2 linked regions of the Cricetulus griseus genome follow. The protein of the gene in region 2 purifies or fractionates together with the protein of the main gene of each other region. This does not show direct contact. Links are inferred from orthologs where the notes say so. Each region holds a gene or a part of one and is shown on either strand. Other genes may lie near its edges.

Region 1 (4,304 bases), on a different chromosome or scaffold from region 2:
ACACAGCCATTCAAGAGCACCCACACACCCATAGCCAACTGACACTTTCGGGGAGGAGAGCAGTAGAGGAGATCTCACTACAGCGCAACTGGCTTTATACGCAAAATCTTCTTGCCACAGCCAGAAACCAGCAACACAGTCATGCACCACCATGCCCAGCTTACCAACTGGCTTTGACAAGAGTGCCAACACTGTTCAGTTGGTTAAAGTAGTTTTTTCAATAAGACACCTAGCTGAACACAGAATGCCAAGTGATACCAAACCAGATGCCTTTAATCCCAACACTGTTCAGTTGGTTAAACTGGTCTTTGCAACAGAAGACACCTAACTGAACATAGAATGCAAAGTGATACCAAACCAGATGCCTTTAATCCCAACACTTGGGCAACAGAGGCAGGAGGATCTCTTGAGTTCCAAGCCAGCCAGGGTTACATATCCGAGACCCTGTCTCAATAGACAATGGATTCAGAGAATGAAAAGTGACAACACACGGTAACAACTTTTGGTACAGGTTATAATAAGGCTGTCCAGTTATTGGTCTGCTACGTGGTGGTAAACAGACTAATTCAAACCTGGGTGTCATGCTTCCCTTTCTGAACTGTAAGAATCCACAGCTGCTCCCAACCAAAAGCCCCACAGACCACCACCAAGTTCCTTTTTACCTGCAGAGAAATATCATTGATCTGTACATCGTCGGTGCTCCATTTCCCAAAGAGCTTGATGTCTGGGGTCTCTGCCACCGCAGGTGTGGCTGTCTCCCACTCAGTCATTCTGGGGACGGGACATCGAGAAGAAACTGTTACTGCCGTCCGCCCTAGAACAATCACATCGACCCCAAACTCTTCAGGCTAAGTAACCCCCATCTGGTGGAAACCTGGGCAGTTAAATGGGGACCCAGCAACTTTGAACATGTCTCCAACAAACCTAGGGAAAAAAAAATCACCAAGCTAAGCAGCTGGTACACGGCACCCAGTAGGATGGCTCCCGAGTCCACGCAGACACTCATATACACCTATCCCGTACCCAGCTTTCCCCGTGCATTTACGAAGCTTCCATCCTAAAAGGCCAGGTGCTGCTTTCAGCGTTCAGTCGGTAAGATACGGGGCTAGGGGCCGCAGTAGGAATCCAGAGGGACAACCGACACAAACGTTTACCTCCCTCCTTGTCCGGGAAGAAAACGTGTGCTGAGCAACAGGATCTCCGCGAAACTAGACTTTCCCGGTGGCTACATAATGCTGGCATCCGAGTGTCCCCCTACATAATGCTGGCATCCCAGTGACCCCCCTAAATAATGCTGTCCCCCCTACATAATGCTGACATCCCAGTGTCCCCCTACATAATGCTGGCATCCGAGTGCCCCCCCTACATAATGCTGACATCCGAATGACCCCCCCCTACATAATGCTGGCATCCGAGTGTCCCCCCTACGTAATGCTGGCATCCGAGTGTCCCCCCTACGTAATGCTGGCATCCGAGTGTCCCCCCTACATAATGCTGGCATCCGAGTGTCCCCCCTACGTAATGCTGGCATCCGAGTGACCCCCCTACGTAATGCTGGCATCCGAGTGACCCCCCTACGTAATGCTGGCATCCGAGTGACCCCCCTACATAATGCTGGCATCCGAATGGCCCCCCCTACATAATGCTGGCATCCCAGTGTCCCCCCTACATAATGCTGGCATGTGCGAGTGTCCCCCCTACATAATGCTGGCATCCGAGTGTCCCCCCTACATAATGCTGGCATCCGAGTGTCCCCCTACATAATGCTGGCATCCGAGTGTCCCCCCTACGTAATGCTGGCATCCGAGTGTCCCCCCTACATAATGCTGGCATCCGAGTGTCCCCCCTACGTAATGCTGGCATCCGAGTGACCCCCCTACGTAATGCTGGCATCCGAGTTACGTAATGCTGCTGGCATCATCGAGTGTCCCCCCTACATAATGCTGCATCCAGTGTCCCCCTACATAATGCTGGCAATACTGCCCGAGCATCGAGTGTCCCCCCTACATAATGCTGGCATCCCAGTGTCCCCCCTACGTAATGCTGGCATCCCAGTGTCCCCCTACGTAATGCTGGCATCCGAGTGACCCCCCTACATAATGCTGGCATCCGAATGACCCCCCCTACATAATGCTGGCATCCGAGTGACCCCCCTACATAATGCTGACATCCGAATGACCCCCCCCTACATAATGCTGGCATCCCAGTGTCCCCCCTACATAATGCTGGCATCCCAGTGTCCCCCCTACATAATGCTGGCATCCGAGTGTCCCCCCTACGTAATGCTGGCATCCGAGTGTCCCCCCTACGTAATGCTGGCATCCGAGTGTCCCCCCTACATAATGCTGGCATCCGAGTGTCCCCCCTACGTAATGCTGGCATCCGAGTGACCCCCCTACGTAATGCTGGCATCCGAGTGACCCCCCTACGTAATGCTGGCATCCGAGTGGCCTCCCTAGGGCCTCGAGTGCGGGAAGCACGGGGTCAGCGCAGGGCGCAGGGGCGGCCAGGGGCGGCCGGGCCCGCGGGTTTCCGGACACGCTTTCCCGGAGGGGAGAGGCGAGGCCCAGACGGGAAGGCCCAGGCCCCGGGTCCCGCCCCCCGGTCCCCAGATGTCCCCCGGAGCACTCAGGGCGGCCCCGCTGTTACTGCGGGGCCCCCCGCAGCCTCACCTGACGGCGCAGACGGGACTCGTCGGCCGCTCGGCGTGGACCACGCGCCGCCCTGGCACAGACAGGAAGAGGCCGCGCGCAGCGGGCCGGCGCCTTTAAGCCGAGCGAGAACTTCCGGGTCAGACGCGGGGGACGCAGGCGCGGAGGAACACACGCGCTCGTGGGCCAATCGGCAGTTGAGGATGAGAGGCGACCTCGGAGCCCTACGGAGCATGCGCAGTCTGAGAAGCAGCGCCACAACCGGCTTCTGGCGGATGTCTGAAGCGCTTGCCCGGCTTACGAGGCGGGGCACATGCGCAGAAACGTCCGCGAAGCCAGCACCGCCATATCTAAAGAGGGCACAGGTCGGTTCCACGCTCGCGGCACACCGGCTGCCGAACCAAGGCGCCGGGAGCCGTGGGCTCCTAGCTAAGGCAGCCGGCTCGGCTCAGTGCGTGTCGCCGAAATAGTGGGTCGGGCCCCGTGATCGCCACTGATCCGGGTTCGCAAGCAGCGGCCCCACCCTTTACCCTCCGGGAGAGCGTGCTCAGCGAGTTCCAGGCTTCCGGCGTGGGGCCACTTCCGTCTTGATCACTCCGGCTTCTCTTGTCCCGGCTTTTTTTTTTATCTCAAGGCCCCAACCCGGGGACACGAGACTCGGGTCGCCAACCAGCAGCTGTCTGGCTGGCTCGCCCGGGGGGTGGCGAGATTGCCAGCCCCGGGGATCTCTCGGGTGACACTTTTAATTGGAATTCACCTTTATCTGCGATCGCAACTACTTGGTGCTGATAACGGGGTCTCGTTGCCTGCAGACTCACCCCAGGAGTGTTTTTTCTGGCTTTTGCGTTTTCGAGACAGGTTTTTTTTTTTTTGTACCCCATGGCTGTCCTGGAACTCACTCTGTAGACCAGGCTGGTCTCGAACTCACAGATCCTTCTGCCTCTGCCTCCCTGGTGCTGGGGTTAAAGGCGAGCATCACCAACGCCCGGCTCAGGTGTGTCTCTTTAACTAGGCTGACCTCTGCCTTTAAGGCGTAAGGACAGAATGGGGAATAGACACCATACAGACACATGTTGGTTTTTGTTTTATATATATTTATTGTGTATACAACATTCTGCTTCCATGTCTGTCTGCACACCAGAGGAGGGCACCAGATCTCATAACGGATGGTTGTGAGCTGGGAATCGAACTCAAGACCTCTGGAAGAGCAGCCGGGCCTCTTAACCTCTGAGGCATCTCTCCAGTCCTAAAAGCGTCTCTGTGAATAGATCAGATCTGAGCTCCCTGAGCCTTGTCAGAGTCTGGTGACATAAGGTTTCCTTCTGATCTGAGTTCACACCTATGTGTGGGGAGGGAGGGGAAGGGGGTAAAGGACAGGAATCCACCTCATGAGCTCTAAGACTGAGCCCGGCTTGTGGTGGTTGTAGGCAGGGGGCCACCGAGTGTCACCCCCACTTTGGAAACTGTCGCTGCACCACAAGTGTTGATAATGGACATTTTTATTGACCTTTTGAGAATTACCTACGAGGTGGCAGAGGGTAGATAAGGGGCTCCTGTACATGGCCCAGAGGTTAAGAGCAATACTTCAGAAATTGATTTGCACAGGTAAAATTCGCTTTACACAAGCCAGGTGTGGTGGTGCACACCTGCCAC
Region 2 (4,189 bases):
TAAGAACATTCTCCCTCCTAGACTAGAAGCCTTCGAATTTTGAATGGCCAGACTGCTCACTTGTGGTTTTCCCTTTTCCCGTTTATCTCAGTTGCTTACATAGACAGTACTTCCAAGTTTCAGGATTTACTCTAGTAGTTGTAAAGTGGAAATTCACTGGGCCCCATTCACATCTTGAGGCTGATTTTTTCCCCCCCAAATTTAGGATTTGGTTAATAATCTGCTCATACGTTTTATACTCAACTGGTCTTCCCAATTGGACCATCTCTGGAGTAAAGAGTCTGGGGGCATGAATACCATTACTCACATTCCTCCCAGTAACCTTTTCATTTGCTAGCTATGTTGAGATAAAAAGATTAGGGCTGCTCTCAGTACGCACCCAATGTTGAGGGATGTTTGTCGGGACGCAGTTTAAAATGCTATTTCCCAGCCAAAGATTCTAATCAAGGCTCCTGTATTTCTTAGAAGTCATATGCCTTCATTTGGAATGATAAGGATGACCTGCGTGTTCTCAATTCTGCACACACCTCTAAACTTTTAGAAAGGTGCTCTTTGGCCCTCGAATGACGTAAAGCTGAGAACTTAAGACTTTGGAGATGCTGCCTCAGAAAAGAGGTATAAAAAGTATGGCTGATGCCGGGCGGTGGTGACGAATGCCTTTAATCGCAACACTCGGGAGGCAGAGACAGGCGGATCCCTGGGAGTTTGAACCCAGCCTGTGAGTTCCAGGACAACCAGGGCTGTTACAGAGAAACCCTGTGTGGAAAAACCACAAAAAAAAAAAAAAAAAAAAAAAAAAAGGCTGACAAAGTGGCAAGCAGAGAATCATTCTACTAATGATCCGTCTGTCCTGCCTTTGGCTCCTGAAGCTCTATGGGAAAAGGATAAAATAAGACCAAGCCTTCGAGGAGGTCAAATCCTGAGATTATGCCTGTTGCAGGTCTACCGAGAACCGGAGGGCGAAGAACAGCGAAGGGAGTCGCCCGCTGGTTCCCGGCCGGCAGTCGCCATCTTTTAGGGTGGGCTGCGCAGCCTCTCCGCGCAGGGCCCGCGTGGAGAAGCCGAAACGTGGTAGCTTCGGAGGGCTGGAGCGCGTTACAAAGGGAAAGTGCGCCTGCGCTCGGGCAACCGCGCTGGAGGGGCGGGGCCAGAGGGAGGACGCGCGTGCGTAGTGCGAGCCCGCCAAGCACCTGGAAGAGGTGGGGAGGGGAGGTAGAGAGGCGTGGGATAGGACAGCGCTTGCGCAAGAGCGAGACAGTGCGGGAAGTGGGGGATCCGGAGCACGCTCGCGGAGGCGGGACTAGGGCAGATCTCGCGAGATTTGCTGCGGCCATATATACGTGCGGCGAGCCCGCGTCCTTTCCCTGGCGTGATTCCGTCCTGCTTGTCTGTTCTGAGGAGCAGTAGGCAGTTTCCTCCGTCCGATATCTCGCATACCGAAGTGCGCGTCTCCACCTCATGGAAGACTCGATGGACATGGACATGAGCCCTCTTAGGCCACAGAACTACCTTTTCGGTAACTGCCTGGCGGGGAGGGCCTGGGCAGGGCCTGGTGGTTGGGGGGGCGGCGGGAGTCCAGTTGAGGCCTGGCGTGTGCCAAGCGCGGCGTGGGTGGAGGCCTTTGCACGGCTGGGAGGAACCGCCTGGGCCGCGGGAGCCGAAGAAAGCCGAGGCCCGGGCGCTGAGCGGGACCGTAGCTTGGGGCGGCAGCGGCCCAGCCTCGAGCCTCTGGCGTTGAGAGGGCGGTCGGCCGAGGGTGCCAACTTGGCTTGGGGCGCGAGCAGGGGCTGTGACGACACTTTCTCTTCATACGTGAAGAAGGCCTCAGGACCTGGCAACAGGCAGCTGAAATTCAGCGCTGGGCCCCAGGCGCGTCCCGGGATAATGGTGCCTCTGGAGCGCGGCCTGCGCCGCCTCGTTGGGACGGTATAAGTGCAGTCCGCTGGGCTTTACAGGGGCTTCGGCCCCTCCTCCCCGTGCATCCGAGAGGTTCCGCCGCTGACAGGGACTCGGCCGGCCAAGCTCCCTGCGGCTGAGGGGGCCGCAACCCCTGGGAACACGTGGTTGCCACGTGGTTGGGGGTAGGGAGGGGGTGTGGGCTCTACATCCGGGCTCTCCTCACTTCTTAACCCTGGTCCTTCGGGTCCTGTGGTTTAATTAGGAGTGCTAGGCGGGAAACGCGTAAAGTGGCGCGTGGCGTCCGTGTCTTTGTTAAGATCTTGTAGCATCCACGGTGATGGTAGTGACTTTTTTTTAGAGACCCTTTAGTGCCTCTGCAAGAGGTGGAGTCAGCCCCACGCTGCCGATGACGATATTGATGGTCGAAGGGTCTTGATGTTAAGAGAGGGCCACGAAATCTTAAGTCGAAACTATCCTTTTCCCTACAACTGGTCTTTTTTTTTTGATTGGGCCGGGGAAGAGAGAGAAGTGCCTCCCGCGTTTAGCAGATTAAGGGATCACTTTGGTAACTCGGCTTCTGGGGACCCCACTGTCACTGCACATTCAGCTTATCGGTTTTACAGTCTATTAGTTTGGTTTTCAGTGACTCGAGTCAATTTTTTCAAAATTCCGAGTGTTTAAAGCACTTTCCCCTACGTGAATGAGTAGTACATGTTTAATGTACTCTAAGCATGAAGGGTTTAAGCTGTCCCTACTGGTCATGTGTAACCACTGTTGATTTGTAGTAATTTCCTTTAGAACGTAGGTAAGTTGGGTTTTTTAAAAATAGTGCTAGATAATGGTATGGTGCCACTATGCAAAAATCCAGTTTTAGGTCATTGGGTTTTCTGTGAAAAAATGGTAACGGTGCCTCATTAATTGGTCGTGAGTTACTATGAAAAAGTAGAACTTTTATTGGCTTTCTTATACAGTAGATTCCACGGAGAGAACATTTTTAAGTTAAAAGAGTAGAAGTTAATGGTCGTTTGGGACTGTGATGTTCATCTTGCTAGATTTATTTTATTTTTTCTTTACAGGTTGTGAACTAAAAGCTGACAAAGATTATCACTTTAAGGTGGATAATGATGAGAATGAACACCAGTTGTCACTAAGAACGGTACTTAAACTTTGAAATTAATTAGCCATTAGATTTCAGCCACTTGGATCTAAGTGAGGGGATTTATGTCAGTTTGTGCTTCCTTAACTGATGGAAAAATAGTATTTTTATAACTTTAAAATAGTTCACATATGTACTGGTAACAAAGAACTGGGTGTCTTTTCCACAGTCACTGTTATAATTAGTTGTCTAGTAAGGCTCTGCAGGATGTGATCTTTTTAAGTCTGTTGGCTATATTTTATTGGTTGTTTGGCTTTCTTAGGAACATACAGTGTTTTGTGTCTATGCATCTCGTAATTATATGAGAGGACTAGTTATCAGTAGTGAGAAGAGGCTAATTAAAAAATTTAAGGGGTGTTTATAAAACAACTGGGTACTGAAGGATCTTTCTTTTTGTTCACAGGTTAGTTTAGGGGCAGGGGCAAAAGATGAATTACACATCGTAGAGGCAGAAGCAATGAACTATGAAGGCAGTCCAATTAAAGTAACGCTGGCAACATTGAAAATGTCCGTACAACCAACAGTAAGTACATTTGTAAACATTGTTTTTAAAGTTGGTCTCTAAGACTGATTTAGGATAAGCAAAGATGTTTCAAATAAGTTATATCTAGTGTGAGATTATCTCTGTGGCTTCTAGATAGGTTTATTGATTATATAACTCTGTTGGTGATGCTTGGTGCAAAACATTCTTAAAACAATGTTTAATGATTGAAATTTGCTCATTTTTAGGTTTCCCTTGGTGGCTTTGAAATTACACCACCTGTGGTGTTACGGTTGAGGTGTGGTTCAGGGCCTGTGCACATTAGTGGACAGCATCTAGTAGGTATGTTTTTGGGTTTTTAAATCTGGTATTTCTATTAGGAACTGGCTTTTTTTAATATTTGTGTTTTGGCCAGGTTAGAGAAGACGTCTGTTGCCACTACTTGGGTCCTTGGGATTGAATACTGAGGTTTAGCCACAAAGATCTTGTAATTAGATTGGCTATCATCCTAGATCTCCAATATGGACTTTGTAAAAGTTCTTAGTTGTCTTATGCTGAAATAGGAATCTGGTAATGTATAAAAAGATAACACCTGAGTATCTTATTTCAGCTGTAGAGGAAGATGCAGAGTCAGAGGATGAAGATGAGGAGGA

What was found. The genes of interacting proteins can lie anywhere in the genome.
Region 1: the proteins of nucleophosmin (region 2) and Rps5 purify together in Homo sapiens (affinity purification with mass spectrometry; 3 studies listed by BioGRID and IntAct, with this or other methods). This does not show direct contact. The link is inferred for Cricetulus griseus from reciprocal best matches to the Homo sapiens genes NPM1 and RPS5.

The regions. Positions count from the first base shown.
Region 1 is NC_048602.1:25,507,573-25,511,876, reverse strand, and holds the start of Rps5 (40S ribosomal protein S5), read right to left. Parts: upstream 2,812-4,304; 5' UTR 2,673-2,811; intron 1,138-2,672; exon of another isoform or gene 1,024-1,137; intron 772-1,023; 5' UTR 771-771; coding exon 663-770; intron 1-662.
Region 2 is NC_048600.1:48,346,418-48,350,606, reverse strand, and holds the start of nucleophosmin, read left to right. Parts: upstream 1-1,342; 5' UTR 1,343-1,458; coding exon 1,459-1,516; intron 1,517-2,975; coding exon 2,976-3,055; intron 3,056-3,458; coding exon 3,459-3,578; intron 3,579-3,784; coding exon 3,785-3,878; intron 3,879-4,146; coding exon 4,147-4,189. UniProt on the Homo sapiens protein: Involved in diverse cellular processes such as ribosome biogenesis, centrosome duplication, protein chaperoning, histone assembly, cell proliferation, and regulation of tumor suppressors p53/TP53 and ARF.